Linked DNA regions of Drosophila melanogaster. The protein of the gene in region 2 purifies or fractionates together with the protein of the main gene of each other region. This does not show direct contact. Each region holds a gene or a part of one and is shown on either strand. Other genes may lie near its edges. The genes, in order: dsh, Arr2 and ninaE.

Region 1 (7,958 bases), on a different chromosome or scaffold from region 2:
AAATAGTTATCTTACTCATCTTGGATTTAAATGTACATCCGTTCTATCCTACATTCTATATTCTAGTTTTAACAGCTATTAGTGAAATTCAGTTCTTTTATGTACAGAAGTTGACTGATCTACAGTTGCCTATCTTGTTATCTGCTTTACTCGCATTGGATTTAAATTTACATCCGTTCTATCCTATATTCTATATTCTAGTCTTCAAACGTCGGTTTCGGACAATACTATCAAGAATATTGTCATAATATATCAAATAAAGACAATTAACATTTAGAACGTAAATTTCCCACGTGCTAATTAAGGATCACATACACATCCCTCTGCTTAAACATAAGTTGATTAGTTCTATGCTATCTTCTCAATTACAAGTTCTTAGTCTAAAATGAAGAACTGACCAATGCAATGGGAGTTAACATCCTTAACAGCTAGTTATGCATATATGGTAATTGAAGTTCAAACTTCTCTGAGTTGCAACTTGTTGGTTCACAAAGTTTTTTAGAATTCCAAAGACTGCTGCAATTTAAGCTACAAGCTAGTCACATGAATATGGTAATTAAGTCATAATATGCCTATGTTTTGATGTTTAAACTTCCTCTCTAGATGCTGACTAATAAGTCATAATAAGCTTATGTTTTGATGTTCAAACTTCAAACTCTCTAAATGCTAACTATAAGTATGGTAATTTAAATCTTAAGTAAATTGAAGTTCAAACTCTCTCTAAATCCTTACATTAATGCGATTTGCAGCAGAGCTCCACAGCCCATCCTGTCGATGGTTGTAAAACGACTGATGCTTATAGACTAGTCCGCATGGCGATAGAGTACGATCTGCAGCCGATTGCCTGGACCGGATCAGCATCAGAATTTCGGCGGGTGCTATGAGCTCTCGGCATTCTTCTTCTTCAGCGTCTCCATGACGCCGGCGAAGTTGGCCGTCTTCTTTTTGGCCGACTTGGGCGTGGACGTCTGGCTGCGGACGCGCATCTGGGTGGGGGCCACATCGTCGCTGAAATCAAAGTCGTTGGCCTTCTGCGGTCTGCGGGGACACGAAAATCAATCATAAGTTATGTTAACCTTCGGATGGTGCTGCACTTGTTCTTACTCCTGCTCAATGGCGTCGGTGGCCTGTTCGAGTTCCTTGCTATTGCCGCCAGATCCCGCCTCCGGCGATGGAGCCCTGCGTCCCGGAAATTGCCATTGCAGTTCCGGAATATTTCCCGCCTCCAGCATCAGATAGTAGCCCTCTAGCTCCTCCGCGTTGGCGGAGAACTTGTCCGCCGTATTCGCCGCCGGCTCCACATCCGTTGCCATCGTTTTCTCGGATTTAAACAATCCAAATGAACTGGAAATTTGCGTTTCTTTCCACAATAGAACCTATTGGTTTCGCGACCTTTCTGGAATGAAAGCGATAGTTTGCTTTGGCGTGCTTATCGAACAGTTATCGAACGTTCGTTGCTATCGATTTTCGGGCTTAGTGTTGCAAAGTGTCCGAGCTGGGCGGTTGATTTGAACACATTTGCTGCTCGAAATGGATTTTCTATTTATAGGTTTCATTATTCTCTTCTTTATTAAGTGCACACCCATGCCCGGAATGTTTCCGCTCCGAGTGCACACAACTTCGAGGATTGTTCTCGATGGCGCATTGTTTGGTTTAGGGGGAAGAACAATATTATCTTGTTGAGACTTTTACTTTTTAGGATGGAAAGTATGTGTTTAAATATTGTTAATCTGTACAAAGAAATAAGAACTAACAAAAATTAGACTTCCTTTTTAATGTATATTCCTCAAATTACGAACAAACGCTAATATGTTTTAGGAATATTTTAAAAGTCTTCTTGGCAATTTGATTTGCACTTGAAAACAGCTAAAATGCGTTAAAGAAACCAATCTCATGCATATGGAAAAGCCATCGATTATTCATTTTATTTGTATTTATTTACTTTGTGATTACTAAATTCTTAGAACTTTATTCAAAATCATTCTCGCCCGTCATGCTGCCGTTCCTGCTCCTCCGCTCCGCTCCGCATCATCCATATATATATATATATATATATATATATATATATCATATATCATATATCTCAGTTGATCTGATCTGATCGGGTCCACAACCGATTGCTGCCGGACACGGATATCCCTGTGCTGATCCTCCTGCTGCCTCACGAGCCCTCGCTGATCCTTGACTCGTTGCGGCTGGGTGTTTAGCGTTCTTTTCTATGACTTACACATACCATACATATACATAAGTATTATTATTATTATTATAATTATTATTATTATTATTATTATAATTATAATTATTATATTGTGGTTTGCTGTTTGCTTGCTTTGTATACTCGTATATAAAAAAGAATAATCGTACATATTTAATTTAATTAATTAAAAACACAATTTGATTGCAAAAAGAAAGGTTTCTACAATACGTAATTAAATACGGATACGTCCTGATCGTTGGTATTGTTGCCGCCACCGCCACCGCCTCCGCCGCCGCCCCGATTGGAGGAGCCGGATGATTTGTTAGAGCCATGAGCGGCGATGGTCAGCTGGTTGGCCTGATGGATCACCGAGGTGATGTCGCTCTGCGACGCCGAGATATCCTTGCTGGTCAGCACATCGCTGCTACTCGATCCCGACGAGATGTGTCGCTCGGCGATGCCGTACTGGATCGGCTGATAGCCGTGACTTGGATTGTACGTGGCCGAATATGGCATATAAATGGGCGGGTTCGGTAGCGGCCCGATGTCGCTGGTGATGCTCTCGGTGTCCGCATGGCTAAGCGCATGGCCGCCATGCCCGTGCGGCAGCTGGTGCGGATGCAGATGTCCTCGGCCCAACAGATTGGGATTGCGCTCCTCGTTCACCACGTAGTAGCACTGCTCCGAGAAGGTCAACTTATTGACCGTATGCTTGATGTAATTGCTGCGCAGCATCGCCGAGACGATCCTTCGCGCCTCCCGCCTATCCTGAACATCCTCCACATTCTCCAGCACCCAATTGACCGCATCGGCGCCGATAAATGCATTGGGAATCGTTATCTTTAGCCACATGCGATCCCTGATCTCCAGGCCGCTGTCCGGCTTCGTCATCGCCTTAACGATCTCCTCGAGGTTATTCTGGTCCAGACGCTCCTTAATCGGCTCCGCAATGTCGGCAATAATACTGTCGTGCGATGTGAGGGCCTGAGTGTGCGCCACCCAAGCACCGGGATCGATGGGTCGCACCGGCTCCGTGCGCGGAATGGTGAAGTAGCCCTTGGGATTTGGGTCCCAGCACTTGGCCACCACCAGCTTGATGGGTCCCGGCTTCTGAACGACTTCTCTCAGCACACGTACCGCCTCGTCGTTGGTCATGTTCTCGAAGTTGACATCGTTCACTTGGAGGATCATGTCGCCCGGTTCGATGCGTCCATCGAGTGCCACTGCGCCGCCTTTCATGATGCTGCCCACGTAGATGCCGCCGTCGCCGCCGCGATTCGATTGCCCGACAATGGATATGCCCAGAAAGTTGACCGCCTCCATGTTGATGGAGACGGTAATGATATTTAGGGACATGGTCGAGTCGGTTATGGAGCTGTACGAGGAGGTGCGCGACATGCTGGGCGCCCGTTTTTTGCGCCTCTGCGGCTTCTTGCGCACCTGCAATCGCTGAACGCTGCTATAGTCGGTCATGTCGCGGTCCAGCGTCAATTCGGATTCGGTGCCAAAGAGACTGGTCGAGTCCAGATCGCTGGAGAGCACGGATGCCGATTGATATGTGAGCGGTGGCGGCTGCAGCAGCGGATTGCCCATCATCTTCTGGTGATGGAGCACCTGCTGCTGTTGCTGCTGCGCCAGCTGGACAGGCTGCACCTGCTGCTGCTGTTGTTGTTGCTGTTGCTGGTGCTGCTGCTGCTGTTGTTGTTGCTGCTGCTGATGCTGCTGCTGTTGCTGCTGTAGCTTCCTGTTGGTCAGACCCATGCCCAATTCACACTCACTGGTTGGCAGCTCGGAGCAGTTATCTGACTGATTGGTACCATCGGCGGAGACCAGCCAGGACACCACTCGCCCATTGAAGCAGGGCAGTATGGTGGAGTCGTCGGCTATTTCCTCTTTGACCACACCGAAATCGGCGTCCATTGACTTGAAGAAGTACTTGTAGTTGTTGTTCTGCTTGTTCAGCACCAGCTTGAAATCGCGCAGCGTCACCTGGGCGGATGGAATGGGGATCTTCACCAGATACGGCGTCGTCTCATCGTCGATGTGGTATATCACCTTCGTCTCCTGCCCGCCGCCCCTGTCCGCGTCCATTTTAGCTGCGCCGACTGCGGAAATCCACGGGAAAACTCCTCGACGCGATAAAACGCGATCAAAACGAAATGCGATGGATGCGGTGGGGAGGTGGCGTGGGAAGTTGGTGGGGAAAAATCACAGGGAAAACGGGATTAAGCCAGGGAAAAGCCGATACAACAAACAAAATTCACTCGATTTTGCTTTTCTCCCCCTGGTCGCTCTAGCCCTCTCGCTCTCGCACGCGTTTCTTTTACTTTTTCTTTCTCTTTTTTTTGGGCTGGGTATTTCGATTCAATGGAAGCGGCGGCTGTTAATTCGTCGATTTGCACGGCGTTGATATTGCTCCATTAGCACGATTTGGTGCGCTTTAATGTCGGTGCACGCAGCGGGGGCAGGGCGAAACGAGCATATTGCTAGTTTATCAATAAATTTGTTAGAATTTTGAGACTAAAAAAAAACAGTGTGTTAGCCGCTCGTCACGCACGGAATGCCAAAGCGCCGGGCAGTTGGTCACACTGCCGGCGATGCCAGACCCTTTCGAATTCGAACATTCTTAACATTTTCTCAAACGAATATTCTGAAAAAGCGTATGGAAAACTACTAAAAACTGCAATGTATTTAGTTTCTATTGGAAATGCTCTCTCTAACGATATTTGCTTTACAATTTGAATGTAGTTCAAACACTTTTAAAATTAAATACCAAAGTTATCGATAAATATCGTTTAATTTGAATACTTATTCAAAACAATAAATTTATTATAATTTAACAAAATAGCAATTTCTATTACATAAAACATGTAGAATCTAAAACTACAGCTATATTGAACTCTTAATTGTATTAATTTACCATATAATGATGTAGCATAGTTGAAGAGTGTCCTGTTTAAAAGTAGAGTCTTTATCCTTGTCATGGAAACTTGACCAAGGAAACTCATCCATCCATCCACTTGAAGCCTGCGTTCCTTATCTTCTTTCGCTTTTCACACGAAAATCTCTAGCGTTGGCCGCAGTTTATTTATAGCTGCCCGATTTCCAGATAACCCCGCCCGCCATTTATCACGCAATGGCGCTCGTTATTTAAATCAGTTTTCTCTTTTATTTGTATGCTTTGAATTGGGATCACTTAGATATACACTCGACTAACTTACTGGCTAGTCCTCCACGCGGGCGTAGGCACATGTACGCCCGGTTTTATATTATTGAATCGACTACGATAATAGCAATTTAAAAAAAAAGGATTTCGAAGGGGGCGGGACTCGCGGGGAAGGCGGAGGGGGGCTATGTATTCCAACGCATTTAAAATAAAAATCATTATTGATATACCTCGACCGCCCGGAACTTCGCAATCCCTTCGAGAGTTGGGCGAGCATTTTACAATTAATTGTTTTCTTTAGTTTAGTTTATATTACATAGATACATCTGCCGTTTGTATTTATGTATGTCCGTCCGCTGTTTATAATATACGAGATATATATATATAAAAATTTATATAAATATATATATATATATATTCATATATATAAATATATAATTATATATACGTGTATATATATTAATATATATTTATATACATACATATATATATATACATATAAATATATATAAATTTACGCTACACTAGCTATTACAACTAAGTTAATGGTTTTACAAAAAAAAACTTGTATCTGTTTTATTACAACTACAGCATAAAACGAATTATCGAGTGTCCGCTTTGTTTGTTTGTGTATGTGTATGGGGGAGGGGGATGGGGATGGGGAGGGGAGTGCTGTGTGTGAATTATTTTTTACAATGTGATACGTGCTCTTCCTGTGGCCACCATGGACCAGGCCTCCACGCTCACTTAGCGTTGACCAGCTCGACAATGTTGCTGCTGATCGAGAGGCGATCGACGATATCCAGCAGGATCTCCACATCCTTGATGGTGGCAACCGTCTCGGGGGCACCCAACAGATTCACATGCTTGCCATCGATGTTCGCATAGAAGCATTTGTTCTTGAAGATGACGGCCCGATCGTAGGGCACGCGGCACGTGTTCTTGTCAACGACAACGCGCCGGAAGAGCACGCACGACGGCTGATACTTGTGACGGTCCTCCTCGGGTATGTTGTACGCCTTGAGATCGCCCGTAAAGATGGTCATTGTCTGGCGGGGCATCATCGACGGCGAGACCTTGTACAGCGTCACCTTGCTGGTCCATTTGCCCGATGGCACCTTTATCCGTGACGCCACATTGGCCAGCTTGACCAGCGCCAGCTCCAGGCAGGTGCGCTGCTGGCGCGCCATCTTCGACAACATATCCTTGGCCGTGCTAACCACATGCCACGTCTCATAGCAGGTGATCTTCTTTACCACACGACCATCCTCCTCGTGAAACGTTGTGGTCTCGGGCGGAAAATATTTGGGACTGTTGGCATCGTCGATGCCACCGCCGGTGGGCAATATTTCGCGCAGCGTTGTCAGCTCCTTGTCGCGCTGCTGCTCCTGCTGGTTCTCCTTGCTGCGACGCTGCGGAACCAGGCTCGGCTTCTTGAACACCGGCTGGACATCGTTATCGGCCAGCAGATTGCTCAGCCTCCGGTCCGCAATCAGCGCATTCACCGACGACGCTGTCGTGGACAGCACATTGCGCCGATTGTTGTTCAACTTGTTAACCGCTACCGCTGCTGGAGCGGACGTCATCGCCGCCGACGCCGCCACCGACGTCGTTGTCGTCACCTGCTTGGACTTGGCATTGGCATTGACATTGGCATTCTTACGGGTAACAATAGATACCGGTATATTATCGATATCAAAATCGAGATCTGGATCCGGATCGTCCTCTTCGGTGTCGACGTCCGTGGGACAGAGCTCCTTGCCCATGCTCATCAGCGGTTTCATCGACTGCGTCTTCTTGCCCATTTCCGCGTTGAGTATCCTGGGCCGGGGCTTCGGCAGTTGACTCTGGATATGCACTGGTCCCATTTTGGTATTGACACTACTGTTGCTGGCCAAGATCTTGATGCGCTTGGCTGGATTCCCCGCCGTCGTATTGTTGTGGTTAACAGCAGCGGACAGGGATTTCTGCGTGCTGTTAACAGTGATGGATTTCTTATCGCCGGCAACCGAATTGCCGGTTCCGATATTCTTGGTACGGGGCCTGCCCAAAGCGACCTTTTTGATTGAATTACCGCCAGCTGCGGAAGCGGCCATAGCAGTGTGTGATCTGGAAATGAGCACATCGTCCTGATTGATAATGTCATCGATGTTTACAATGGTGAATGTGGGCATATCCTCCGATTCGGAATCGTTTTTCCCATCATTGCTAGCGTCACCCTTGCCGCCGCCACCACCACCGCCAGTTGAGCGCGTTGCGGGCGTGGATCTAATCGAATTCGAATTGGAGTTCGACAATGAGTTTATCTTGTTACTGCTGCCGCGTCGCTGTGGCAGCATCCTGGCTGACGCACTGCCCGCCTGGCCCACCTTCGGTCGCGCCGTGATCGCTCTCTGCGCGCTCATCTTGCTGTTGGCACCATTCACCACAGGCGGTCCGCTGCGCTGCTGGGAGCCGCCCGAAATGATTATGCGCTTGCGTGGCACAGGACTCTCGCTTTCGCTAGTGTCCATTTTGCGTTTGGCCGCGGCGGACGCAGTGCCCTTGCCCGTGCTCGATCCGTCTGTCATGCTGGCATTGCTTTTGGCCATATTC
Region 2 (6,544 bases):
CTGCGCCATGTCCCAACGATGTTCGCCGTGACCTCCTTGACGATCTGTCCAAATCACCTAAGTCGATCGAGTGGTTAAGAGGGAGAAAGTCTGCCGAATTATCTGGAAATTTATTAAGTTGGCTCTCAAGCTCAACTCACCTCGCCCTTGTAACGATTCGTGCCTCGCTGGGATTCAAATCGCTTTTCCTGGGCCTTCGGATGCTTCAGGACGTGGCCATGACTCCGCGAATCGGGTGCATCAAAGCGCATGAAAATGTCACTAAGCATTGAAATTAAAAGAAAGAAATTAGTACTAATTAATTTTAGAATTAGGAAGTAATTGTAATTGTCCAATTGTTAGTTTTCATTGTTTAAATAACAGCCACCATTTTGTCAAAAATATGTTACTCACTTTTCACCCTTTTTTCTATAAAAATTTTTCTACAAAAAAAAAAAAAAAACTGTTGGCACTACTTGTTAAGTTCGAAAGGGTAAACATCCACCATTTTTCACTAGGAAAATCCTTTTATTTAATAAATAACTGAACCACCACCGTTATTTCGTAATAATTTCACCCATATTCAAGCGAAATTTTCTTACTGAATTGCATGAATATGTATGTTAATAAATTTGTGTAAAAAATGGATAATTGATTTTAGGCATGAAGTGCATGTTAAGAGCTATTCCAAAATAATGAGCAACCACCACTTTTCAATTATTTTTCAACCCAATTAACTTACTGAAAGTACTTGGTTTCCTTGGCACTTCGGTCAGCTGGACTTCTGGTTTCGGCCACATCCGTGTCCAGATCCTTGGCGTACCTCCTGGGTCTTTCCGTTTGGACATTCTGTGAGGGTTGCTGCTGCTGCTGCTCCTGCAATCTGGCAATGCGAGGTGGAATCACATGCAACACATCGCTGGTAAAAAGAGCCGGTGGCACATTGTAGAGTTGCTGCGGCTGCTGTTGCTGCTGCAAGTGTTGCTGCTGCAAGTGCTGCTGCTGCTGCAAGTGTTGCTGCTGCAAGTGCTGTTGCTGCAACTGGTGTTGCTCCTCGACGCGGCGTTGTGGTTGCTGCAGCGAAACCCGTTGCACTGGCAGATAGTTACCTTCATATCGATATTTGGCCAAATCGGCGTGTGGAGCGATGGTCCGCTGCTGGTACTGGACACTCTGCTGCGGATACAGGGGCGGAGGGGGTGCGGCAGGAGCGGGCAACTGCTGCTGCTGGTAATCCAAGCCCAAGGGCTGATAACTCGGCCGATAGTTAATCAGCTGAAAGTGTGGCGTCTGCTGCTGAAAGTGAATCGCCGGCGGAGGAGCCGGACTATAGCCGCCCACAATGGGCGTGGCAGCGGCACCATACTCAAAGCGACGAAGACGCGGTGAATCGTAATACAATTGTCTTGGATGGTAAAAGACATGTGGCTGCTGCAACAATGCCGGCGAAACGAAAAGCAACAATTGCAGGAGGAATATTTGCATCTTTAGCAGTCCGTTTAACTTTCCAATTGGCAGATCCATCGCGTTGCACTCTCGTCAAATTTGTGGCAGCATTTTGACAACAACATAGCCATTTATAGTTGGCCACTTTTCGGGGCTTGGCCAAAAGCCGGAAGTCACTTGCCCAGCAGTCAGCGGTGTGTGAAATCGATCGACGCTGCTGCCCCGGATTGTGCAATGCTCCAACGGTCAGCTGCAGGGCTTATATAAGATATGGCAAATAAAATGCGAGAAAATTGTAAAATAGAAAAAACCAAAAAAAAGAGGAAAATCAGCTAGACTGACGGGGATGAGACCTAGAATCAAACTGCTGGCAGCTGGCGGCCTTAGCCATCATCAAGGTCAAAAGCTTGGGCTATTTAGCATACACAAAAATTGTGTATTTTGGCAAACGCATTGTCAACATCTGGAGCTTGGAACTTCCGTTGACCGTTAGAGCCGGCCATATCCAGTTCTGGTTGATCCTGATTGGTGGAACACATATCCTGGCAGCCTGTTGCTTCTTGCAAGGGGTTGAAAGCCTACGATGTGACCTATAAGCATTGGGCTTTTCAACCCCCTGTCATCGTTGAAAAATCACCCTTAGAATTCCTGCCAGCAGATCCTTCGTCGTCGAGCTGCGCAGTTGTTTAGATCATTCGACTTCTGAAGTTGAAACCCACAGCACCGCCAAGAACAATCCACTACCAAAAACCGAATCCTTACCGAATCACTTTTGGATACTACATCGCAAACGAGAGAAAAGGTGAGTGCTTTTGATAGCCATAACACATTTATAATATAGCGACACGAGGTCTGTTCAACTCATCAACATGCATATGTACGGGTACAAACTCCAGATCCACCAAAGTTACATTATAGATACGATTATAATACAAAGATTGTGGCCTCCACGAGAGACTGCTGCAACAAATTTTCAGTGCTTTCGATTTAGTTCAATTCGGTTCACAACAGAGCTAGAAGAGATTGAAGATCGGTGGCCTAGTCCGCCATGTTCACATTGTTCATGCGCATCTTGGCGAAGTCCTCGAATACAATATTATCGTCATCATCCTGGTAATAGCCCTTCACATTGCGGTGCTGCTCGATGGACTTCATTTTCTTCATGGCATTCGAGCGCTTCTTCTCAATGGTTCCTATACCACATCAAAGGAATTACAAACTAGAAGTCAAGTTCAAGTAATCTTCTAAAGCTTACCAGGTGCCGGTTGGAGTAGCTTGAAGGGCACATCCGTCTGCATTTCACCTCCCAGAGTGCCGCAGTTGAGCTTAATGCGCACCGAGTACGAGATGACAATACCACAGGCATCTCCCGTGGACTTGCCCTCCTGCACCATGGTGGATGAAGCCAGGTTGACATCCTCGTCCTTCAAGTGACCATCCAGGGCGATACCTGAGTTCACAATTAAATAATCCATTAGAAACTATCCAGAATCACAACTATCACATCCAAATCCTACCATGGCGATCCTTGTTGTTAGCCGCCAGCGGAATCAAGTAGAAGGTCTTGGTGAGATTGGCGCCCGGAGTGATGGGGCAGCCCTCCTTGGTCTCCAGCTGGGCCACATGCTTGCTGAACTGGGCGTTCACCATGGTGATCTCAGTGTGCTGCACAATGAAGCACTTGATGCTCTTCACGGACTTCTTGGAGTTGTTCGACACCTGGACGGTGGCAGCCGTCTTCTCGCCATGATAGTAGATCTCCCTGTCCAGCGTAACCTCCAGACTGATCTTGCCATTCGAGAAGGTGAATCCCTTGCTGACCAGCGAGCTGGGCAGACGCTGGCCACGATTGAGGGGAGCGTACTGCAGCTTCTTGATCACCAGACTGACCATGCTCCGCTTGTGCTGGCGATCGTCCTCGGAGTCGCCCACAAATGCCCGGATGGTGTACTCGACGCCCAGGGGCTTGCCATTGTCGTCGCCCTCCTGCTGCAGAGTAACGGAGCTGGGCGAATTGGGCGGGAAGTGGAAGGTGAACGGATAGGCGTTGCTGCCCAGTTTGCGGACCAGCTTCTCCTGCATCGGTGTCATCTCCATGTTGGGATTGGTCATGGGCACAATTTGCTCCCGGCACAGGATAAGCTCCTTGGAGAACTTCACTCCCATGACCTCGTCCTCCTCGCGACCATAGCGATAGGTGGTGGCCAGTTGGCCAAAGACTTTCCTGTTCTTTAGATAGTCCGGTTCCACCACAATCACTCCATCGACGGGATCACAGTAGTCGATGTGGTCGATGAAGTCGCGGCGTCCCAGATAAAAGGTGACCTTGCCGTTGGGCGTGGCCTTCTTAAAGACCTTCACGGATACAACCATTGTGGATTAGTGGATTTCTTTGATTCCTGGCAAATGCAACTGGGCAATTCGAGGCTAAGTCGGGCGATGCGCGTTATAGAGTTTTCCGTTCGGCGGAGGAAAATGCGAAACCCAAGTGCCGTACAACCTGCTTATATACCTTTGCCCTGGCCCTGTCCGTGGGTCTTCATTCTGGCCACTAACTGGATTTGCTCGTTATGCACTTGTTTGTTGGCTTGTCCAACACGACAATAAGATAGAACCATAGGAACTAAGGGAAAACTGCAAACAAGCTGCTTCCAGGGGTTGTTCTATTTTCTGCGCAGTTTGCCACTTGCCCGAGCAAATTGGCTAATGTCAAGTATCTTTTTCCGATTTTCCGACCTAGTACGAGGTCATTTGGCCAACTGTTGAATAATTGAGCATGGTAGGTTGGAGCTGGATTAGCATCCGATTTGGTGTTACCGGGTTGTTATCAATCGGCCAGTTTTGTTCTCTCTTAGCCAAACATCAGTGGGCAGCAAGGAGAAACCTTAGATGTTTTTAATTTTGTTATGTATCAAACGTCGATATATTGATTTTAATGTGAGAGGTATAATTGAAATTGGCATTTCTTACAACTAGCTTACCAAAGGTCGCAATTCATTGTAGTTAATGTTAGATAATATTTAAGGTCCAGAGAAATTGGTATTATTTTGAATCTCTCCTTTTTTTTTCTTTGCAGTTGAGATCTAGAACCAAGATGCAGACACAGACACACACCACCACAGACCGACATGGCTATAGCCTGCGCTTTTCGCCTTTCGAGGCTAACTACTTGCTGCTAGCTACAAGGTGAGATCAATCTTAAGCTCTAAAACCAACAATATACTAATAGAAAACCATTTTTTTTCGATACCCAGCCAACTGTACGGTCTTGCTGGAGGTGGTTCCCTCTTTCTGCTGGAACAGAACTCCAACACAAATTCCTCATCCACAGATGGCCAGAGTCTCGGAGAGCTGTGCCGCCTAGAGTGGTCCGATGGATTGTTCGACGTCGCCTGGTGTCCGTATGCCGCCGATATCGCCGCCACTGCCTCCGGAGATGGATCGCTTCAGATCTGGTGCGGATTGGATGGCGAATCGGCGAGCAACCAGCTGACGCCGAAACAGCCGCTGATCTGCCTGCAGGAGCACAAGAACGAGGTGTACAGCCTGGACTGGGGCGAGAAGTGGAACTACCACACGCTGCTCTCGGGCAGCTGGGATTGTACACTGAAATTGTGGGACTGCAACAGACAGAACTCCATCACCACATTTGTGGGCCACAACGATCTGATCTACGGGGCCAAGTTCTCGCCCCTGATCGCCAATCTGTTTGCAAGCGTAAGTACCGATGGACATCTTAACTTATGGAACTCTCTTGACTTTGCAGGTAAACCCCTGATGAGCATCGAGGCGCATGCGAGTGAGGCACTATGCTGCGACTGGTCGCACTTCGATCGCAATGTCCTGGTCACTGGAGGTTCGGACGGTCTGATCCGCGGCTGGGATCTGCGCAAGATGAGGACGCACGTCTTTGAGCTGTACTCTGGAGAATTCGCTGTCCGGCGATTGGCCTGTTCACCGCACTCGGCAGCGGTCTTGGCATCGGCCAATTATGATTTTACCACAAGGTAAGTGGAATGATCTTAGGCTTTCAAAAAACAGGACATTTTTATGGTTAGTAACAACTGTCCACTTTTGTCACCTTTTTAGGATTTGGAATCTGGAGCGTGGTGAGTCCGCCCAGGAGGTCAATGCGCGGCACACGGAGTTCGTGTGCGGATTGGATTGGAATCCCCACAGGACCCATCAGTTGGCCGACTGTGGCTGGGACTCGTTGGCCAACGTTTATACCCCGCAGTGTCTGAGCGGTGATCTGGTCGTCTAGGTTAGTACAGGGCATGCCCAAAACTGGAAACTGGAACTGGTACTCCCTAAATACCGAAAACACATGTGATAAGGCGCTAGTGGCGTCGAAATAGCCAGGCCTACAAGCGGTGCACCGTTATTACGATAGCTGAGCTATATGCAATGCCTATAAGGAACTGTAAGGAACCGAAGACAAGGACTCATCGGCGCAACGATGACGTGTAAATAGCTGTGTGATAAACGCTGAACGGGCTAAAACCTCAAGCAGGTGCTTCAAAATGTCAATAAAAGCTTACATATATCACGAGTATTATATGAATTATATGGGTTTTCTGCGCTGCTCTGTATGTTATTATGGCCTTCGCAATAAGTTTCTTGGCCCCTGGCTATAATTTGCACTCGGCCCTTGTCTTAACAAGAATTTAACGGATCACGGAATTGGAGTTCGAATTGGTTAGGTGGCAAAGAGCCAGCCAGACGCTGACGGAGATTGACTTGGCATCCTTATCCGGTTGGCTTAACTCTGACCAAACAAACACGCAATAAAGCGCTAATTTGCTGCAACGTTTTATTGCCCGAGTGGAGCCGAAATCCCTGTCATTCCCGGAATTGACACAGCCAACAAGGTGGATATTGCCCAAAGGTGTGCCAGCCATCGCACCTTTTCGGCATGGCATGGTGTGAAATGGCAGCAGTTGCTCCCTGCGAACTCAGATCACAGATCCCAGATCCTGGCACCCCGATCCCGTCATTATCAACAGACTGCGCTTTAACTGCCACTCGGGGCAAATATTTGCTTTGAAGCCAATTGGCGCTGATTTCTTCTGACAATTGGGGGCAGATCAGGAGGACCTTACTCTCGATTCTCGACACC
Region 3 (6,935 bases), on a different chromosome or scaffold from region 2:
ATAATATTATATTATAAGCATATTATATTATACTTACTTATACTTTACTTACTTATTAAATTCGTGAAATATACAGAGCATACTTTCAGGTACATACACCCCGAACTCAAATCTTTATCGTTATCAATACACGATCAACATAAATGTATTATTGTCGTATTAAATATTACAGAGAAGGGCATTCAAAGTGCCGGGTAAGTTTGGTTCTGCCTCTCTAGTTTCAAATTTGCCCGCCTCATTGAGCAGGAAAACAACAAATTCCCCAACAATAACAACGTCTACGGATCGCAGCGTTTATCTCGCTTATTTGCTAATGCTAAATGATCGTCTTCTTCCCCGCCTTCGGCGGCCTTCTTCCACTTCACATCGCAATGTTTGTTGCAAGTTGGCTTGTCCATATGTCTCTGTTGTTGCTATACCCATTTCGTTACTTGGCTTTTATGTTTGGGCCATCTAGCAGGTGGGCGGGGGACTTTTGTTGTTTAGCGAAACCCGAAAATGCCGAATAAATTGAAATGCGATTCATGGTTTATACCCAGATTATTTGTATATATGCATACACAGAACTGTAGGTAAATACGTAAGTATGGGAACCGCAAGTGCGGCTAACGATGACGCCAATATAATGATCATGATGATCAAATTGATGGTAATGATAATGGCGATATGAGCGCAGCTTCCGGTTTTGCGCCTCGGTATTTTTGTTAGTTTTTTGCGCTGGCTAACTTTATATGAATATTTATTACCTGCGCTTTTTTTGTATTGTTTTGCGGTGTGTAATTGATTTAAACCGAAAGATCTGCCGACATGTGTCGACTGTCACACCAGCTGACAGTTATTTCGGTTTAGTTCCATATTTGGGTTGGGCGCAAAGCGTGGCATCCCATTTGGCCATTTGGATTAGCCTAAAACTTGACCCAATTCAAGCTGATGTGTTGAGCCATCGCACAAAGGCGAACAAAAGGCTTTTATGCCAAAGCTGGACTGACAAAATAAAATCCAAGCTGCCCACACCAAAAAGAAAAGAAACAAAACATGTTCGGAAAATTCAATGGAGGTGCGAAAAGATCAATCAGCACAAAAAATCCATAAGCGGCTTAGCGTCTGGGGTGTTCATATTCTTAATTTAAATAGATTATTTTACTACTTCCAAAAGCTGGCATTCTTTTTAAGATAATCCAAGATTAGCAGAGCCCTCAAGATGTGCGTTCATCGGCGCACACACTGCGTATACTTGATTGCGCATACGCACTGGTGTCGCAGGCGAACGATACTGATATTTCTTCTGCTACGATATGTTTTCATAATATTCTTCAAATTTGTCTAGGCATTGACACATTAAATCGCTGACTTTCGCCATTGCTTTCTGCACAATCTGGAGACTCAAGAATAATACTCGGCCAGAACCCCCAGTGGAAACCCTTGAAATGCCTTTAACTATTGACATTGGCCCATTGCGATGTGCGCTTGCTTTCGTTATGGATATTATGATTATAAGCCAAAAGCTGTCGACACTTTCCTCTGCACATTGCAGACATATTTTTAGGCTGGCCTAATTGAATTTCAAGAGCAGGGGTTACACGAGCACCGCGAAAACTATAAAAGCCATGCGGCAGAATGCAGACATTGCAGGTTTCCAACGACCAATCGCCGCGACTAGTCCGCCCCAGTGAAATATTCAGAATCCAGGAACCCTTTATGTAAAAAGTGTTAGAAATATTGTTAGTGAATTTGCAGCTTTTTATGTAGACAGTGTGATATAGGCGGGATATAGTGACGCAGCCAGTAACCAAAACACAATGGAGAGGTACGATCGGTGGATCCACTGGATGTTCTGGTTAGCAATTTAACATTTGCTTCGGTGTTGCAGCTTTGCAGTAGCAGCCGCGCAACTGGGGCCACACTTTGCCCCCCTGTCCAATGGATCGGTGGTGGACAAGGTCACGCCCGACATGGCCCACCTGATCAGCCCGTACTGGAACCAGTTCCCCGCCATGGACCCCATTTGGGCCAAGATCCTGACCGCCTACATGATCATGATCGGCATGATTTCCTGGTGCGGAAATGGCGTGGTGATCTACATATTCGCCACCACCAAATCACTGCGCACGCCCGCTAACCTGCTGGTCATCAACCTGGCCATCTCCGACTTTGGCATCATGATCACAAACACGCCCATGATGGGCATAAATCTGTATTTCGAGACCTGGGTGCTCGGACCCATGATGTGCGACATATACGCCGGACTGGGCTCGGCCTTTGGCTGCAGCTCCATCTGGTCCATGTGCATGATCTCCCTGGATCGCTACCAAGTGATCGTCAAGGGCATGGCCGGCCGGCCGATGACCATTCCGCTGGCCCTGGGCAAGATTGCCTACATCTGGTTCATGTCGAGCATTTGGTGCCTGGCGCCCGCCTTCGGCTGGAGCAGGTGAGTCCTTGAAATGGTAAACCTTCTGGGAACCCATTTTTTAAAAAATGATCAAAGCTACTATATACAAATGTTTAAAAACTTAAATTACAAACAAAAGGTTTACAAATTACAATTGTATTAATATTATTACCACCTAACATTATCCTATAAATATATATTCTTAATCTAAAAGGTATGTGCCGGAGGGTAACCTGACCTCGTGCGGTATTGACTACTTGGAACGCGACTGGAACCCACGCTCATACCTGATCTTCTACTCCATCTTCGTGTACTATATTCCGCTGTTCCTGATCTGCTACTCTTACTGGTTCATCATTGCTGTAAGTGGCGACGAGACTCGCATATCCCAGTCGCTTAACCCGATATATCCTCCCACAGGCTGTCTCCGCCCACGAGAAGGCCATGCGCGAGCAGGCCAAGAAGATGAATGTCAAGTCCCTCCGCTCCTCTGAGGATGCCGAGAAGAGCGCCGAGGGCAAGCTGGCCAAGGTGGCTCTGGTCACCATCACGCTGTGGTTCATGGCGTGGACACCATACCTGGTCATCAACTGCATGGGACTGTTCAAGTTCGAGGGCCTTACACCACTGAATACCATTTGGGGAGCTTGCTTCGCCAAATCGGCCGCCTGCTACAATCCAATTGTATACGGCATCAGGTTGGTTATGGGCTATGAAACGTATATACCTTAATATTTAACCAATTTTTTATTTTCATTCCGTATAGCCATCCGAAATATCGCCTGGCCCTCAAGGAGAAGTGTCCTTGCTGCGTCTTTGGCAAGGTCGACGATGGCAAATCGAGCGATGCCCAATCGCAGGCCACCGCCAGCGAGGCCGAGTCCAAGGCATAAATTCTTTGGCGCAACAACCAGAACAGCAACAACAACAACAAGAACATCTAACTACTTACAACAGCAACAACAACAGCAACAAAAACAACAGCAAGAACAACTGCAGCAACAGAACGAAACGCTTTCGAATAACATCAAAAACTTCAACAATAATGAAAAAATTATGCAACTTTCTTACATAACAAAAAGCAATGTAAACTCAGTTATTAAATTTCCTGCAATGTCAGTTAAGGACAAAAAAAAACTCAACAAAAAAAATAAATGCAAACGAACTAGAAAAGTTATAAATTAAAATGAGCCTTTTCAAAACATAGTATATCTAACAAAAGCAGCTTTTAGCGTGGAAAAACCCTAATGACGAACCTACAAAAGTTCGGATATCAACTTTCGGTTATCTTTCGCCTTTAAAGTTTGGAGAACCACAACAAATTTGAGTTTATTCATTCTTATATGTATAATAGTCTTCTTCAGAAGCTATAAATCCTTTCCAGTTAACAAGAAATACCCCTTTTTTGCAAAGCACTTCACAATATATTATCTATTTCAGTTTTTGTTTTCTTTTTTTTTTAAATTAAAGGCACTTATGTAAATTCCATTTTTATAAGTTAACATGCAATCGTTAAAACTGGACACACAGACAACGCCTTTTCGAACTCAAAGTTGAAAAGACATGAGTCAGCATGGGAGAACTTAACCCAGGGCTGCTGGAGACTCATTGAGCTGAGCCTCGCAGCGGTTAGTAGCACATGGAGAACATTAACAATTAATCAGTAGTATCTGTAAAGGCACAACTCAGAAAGCTTTCAACTCCAGTCACTCGCTGCACGAATCGTACTCGCTTTCGCTTTTCTTGATTTTCGTTTTGATGCCCGGCGTTCCGGGAGTTGTGGTTGTGGGTGATGGTAGCGTATTGTTGTTGTCAATAAGCGCAAAAGAGCTATTGCCTCCAATGGGTTTGTGGTAAGTGCTTGGTGGACTGTCCACACAATCGGACGAGGTGCACACACGTTCTTGTATAATGAGTTTCCACAAACGCACTTCGATGCCAACGCTGCAAAATACCAAAAGTTAGTTGAGCATGGATTAAGTGTACTTTTCTTATAAGCTTTAACGCACCGCAGACCCAGCCTCATGAGGTCCAGCTTTTCCATGTTATAGATAAAGTCGTCAAATGTAAAACCTTCATTCAGGATGAGCGTCTTTGAGAACTCGTCTATTTCCTGCTGGGTCAACCACTGCTCCAACTGCTCGTCTACTTCGTGAAGACCAAAGTGATGCTTGTTTAGCTGCCTCCGGGGATTGCCCGCTATATTCGGACGGACTCCGGACGTTCCGCCCACACTGGTACTCATTCTATGGCACTTTTTGTTAAAGCCGTTTATTGTGCGTCTGTTAAGATGAAATTGTGAATTATAATAAAATTTACAATGTCCTACTTGGTTTACCAACCTTAATCTCTTTCTGCCGCCCATGTAAATGTGAGCCAGCTCCTGACTGATATTATGCAGGGCCCTCATGCTCTGCCGCTGCTGCTCAAGGAGCTGGCGTTGCAGCTTCTGCTGATTGTCACGGATGTCTCTCAGGATGCGCGCGCACTCCATCGAACTGGACAGAGCATCCCCGCCCGATTCCGCAGGCGTTAATCCCACACCTTCGCGAGTGTTGCTCGTGGGAAGAACTTTTTCCAGGCTCTGCTTTTCCTGGCTCTCGGTGGAACCCTTCTGCATTAGACTTGTACGCAAGCTCTCATCATCATTTCCAGACAGGTCTTTGTCCGCCAGATTGGCGCCCAGTTCAGGAGAGAAAATAGTGACCGCCGCCTGGACGGCCCGCTTAACCAGATTATCCAATGCGAACATCCAATGGGGTTTGATGCAATGGTACCGCAGTACGCAGACCACGGCGTCCTGAAAGGAGTACAGCGCCAAATGAAGATGGTCCAGAGCAACTGCGTCGTTGTTCAGCTTTTGTTTCAGTTCGTTGATAGTCGCTTCCAAATGCTTTTCGTTTTCGTTCATAATGTAGTCCCGCAGTCCTCGGATTAGAACCTCCAAATCGCTTTTCCTAATCGCAATCGAGTTCTGATCAGCGTCGACCTTCTTCAGCCAAATATCGCAGATCTTGGATTCGTCTAGTGCCAGCACCTTGGAAAGCGTTGTCCGCCTCTGCGAATCCTTTTTAAGCCTGTAAAAACCGTCAGTCTCGCTCGTCTCACTAATGCTCGTACGCAAGGACGGCGTGGAAGGTTCAATCTCTGGCGAGAGCAAAAATCCATGGGAATTTCGCCGTTCAAGCATAAACTGGTTGCTGGGCAGCTCGTCAATGTCCACCGAGGATGAATGCGTTATGCTGAAATAGGAAACAGAAAGTACAATATAAAATTACGTTTATTTTACAATACATCAAGTGCTATCTCTTCTCAGTATCAAAATCCGAGTGCGCATTTTCCAATCATTAAATATGCACTTTACTGATAGCAACAATCAATGTGTTAACTACACGATAAGCAAAGGCACTTGTTACTCTTATAATAGTAGACGATATGGGAAAATATAGAGAAGCACGGAAAAATTTTTATATTCATTAAAATTAGCAAAATATAAATGATAATTTTCAACAGATAAGATAACCTCTGCTTGTAATTGAGGAAGGTCGAACATGATAAGAATAGTCGCAGCGTTTAACTTACTCCAATTCCGGCGTTGTGGGCGTATTGCAGGTTGTGTTGTAGCTCAGCGGCGGTGTGGTTTTGTGCACAAACCGATCAGCCGGCACCGAAATGCTGCGTCCGAACTCAGTATTGATGGGCAGGGCTGGGCGCACCTTGCGGGGTTTACTTATTGAGAAAATTAAAAGTGCAATTAGAAAGGAATTAGGCAAAACAATTAAGCAAACTCACTCTTGTAGGAAGGGATCTTCCAGAAGTTGCGAGGCGGAGGGTCGGTCCATCACGCTGATGGCAAAGCAACGCAAAATAAAGTTCTTTGCGTTGGCGGACAGCTCCTCGGGTATGTTCGGATGCTTCTTGTAAAAGCCCACCTTGAACATGGCCGCATGGGCGCTACCCAGCTCGATAAACGGTGGTTTGCCCGTAGCCATCTCAACGTTTGTGCATCCAAAGGACCAGATGTCAGCCGCCGGGCCATAGCCGCGTACTCCCTGGTCAATCACCTCCGGCGCCATGTACTGCAAGGTGCCCGTAAAGGTCTCCGTCATCGGGTTGATGCGGGCCAGCCGCTTGGAGGTGCCGAAATCGGAGATCTTAACCACGCCGCTATACGTGTTAACCAGCACGTTGTCACCCTTTATATCGCGATGAACAATGTCCTGCTCGTGAAGGTACTTCAGCCCCTCGAGGATCTGCTTGGAGTAGAAGGCCATGGTGGACTCGTTGTCCTTGAGCGGACCCCATTTGGTCTCTAAGAGGTCGGAAAGCGATCCTCCCGGCACCTGCTCCATGAAGATCTTGAAGAAGCCGTTCTCCGAGCACGATCCCAAATAGCGAACTATGTTGCGATGTCGCAGCTGAGAGTGTAACTTAATCTCCTCGTGCAGTGGCTGCACATCCTGCGAGTTCTTTTCCGGCACCTCCTTAATGGCGATTCGCACCTGCGTCTGCTTGTCCCTGGCGGCGTACACGGTGCCATAAG

Evidence for each region.
Region 1: the proteins of Arr2 (region 2) and dsh purify together in Drosophila melanogaster (affinity purification with western blotting, with the first as the bait; one study listed by BioGRID). This does not show direct contact.
Region 3: the proteins of Arr2 (region 2) and ninaE fractionate together in Drosophila melanogaster (co-fractionation; 6 studies listed by BioGRID, with this or other methods). This does not show direct contact.

The regions. Positions count from the first base shown.
Region 1 is NC_004354.4:11,352,684-11,360,641, reverse strand, and holds dsh (dishevelled), read right to left. Parts: upstream 4,762-7,958; 5' UTR 4,289-4,761; coding exon 2,417-4,288; 3' UTR 1,918-2,416; downstream 1-1,917. Other genes in the region: Pa1 (PTIP associated 1), read right to left, coding at 879-1,038, 1,105-1,313; CG1737 (uncharacterized protein), read right to left, coding at 6,107-7,958.
Region 2 is NT_037436.4:8,645,028-8,651,571, forward strand, and holds Arr2 (arrestin 2), read right to left. Parts: upstream 3,910-6,544; 5' UTR 3,799-3,909; coding exon 2,943-3,798; intron 2,876-2,942; coding exon 2,681-2,875; intron 2,619-2,680; coding exon 2,464-2,618; 3' UTR 2,234-2,463; downstream 1-2,233. Other genes in the region: CG13305 (uncharacterized protein), read right to left, coding at 1-57, 141-261, 722-1,503; Pex7 (peroxin 7), read left to right, coding at 4,520-4,611, 4,680-5,432, 5,515-5,689. UniProt on the Drosophila melanogaster protein: Regulates photoreceptor cell deactivation. Arr1 and Arr2 proteins are mediators of rhodopsin inactivation and are essential for the termination of the phototransduction cascade.
Region 3 is NT_033777.3:19,882,895-19,889,829, reverse strand, and holds ninaE (neither inactivation nor afterpotential E), read left to right. Parts: upstream 1-1,623; 5' UTR 1,624-1,799; coding exon 1,800-1,807; intron 1,808-1,870; coding exon 1,871-2,431; intron 2,432-2,606; coding exon 2,607-2,754; intron 2,755-2,812; coding exon 2,813-3,090; intron 3,091-3,158; coding exon 3,159-3,285; 3' UTR 3,286-3,575; downstream 3,576-6,935. Other genes in the region: Ask1 (apoptotic signal-regulating kinase 1), read right to left, coding at 4,099-4,336, 4,402-4,674, 4,735-5,634, 5,975-6,121, 6,185-6,935. UniProt on the Drosophila melanogaster protein: Visual pigments are the light-absorbing molecules that mediate vision. They consist of an apoprotein, opsin, covalently linked to cis-retinal.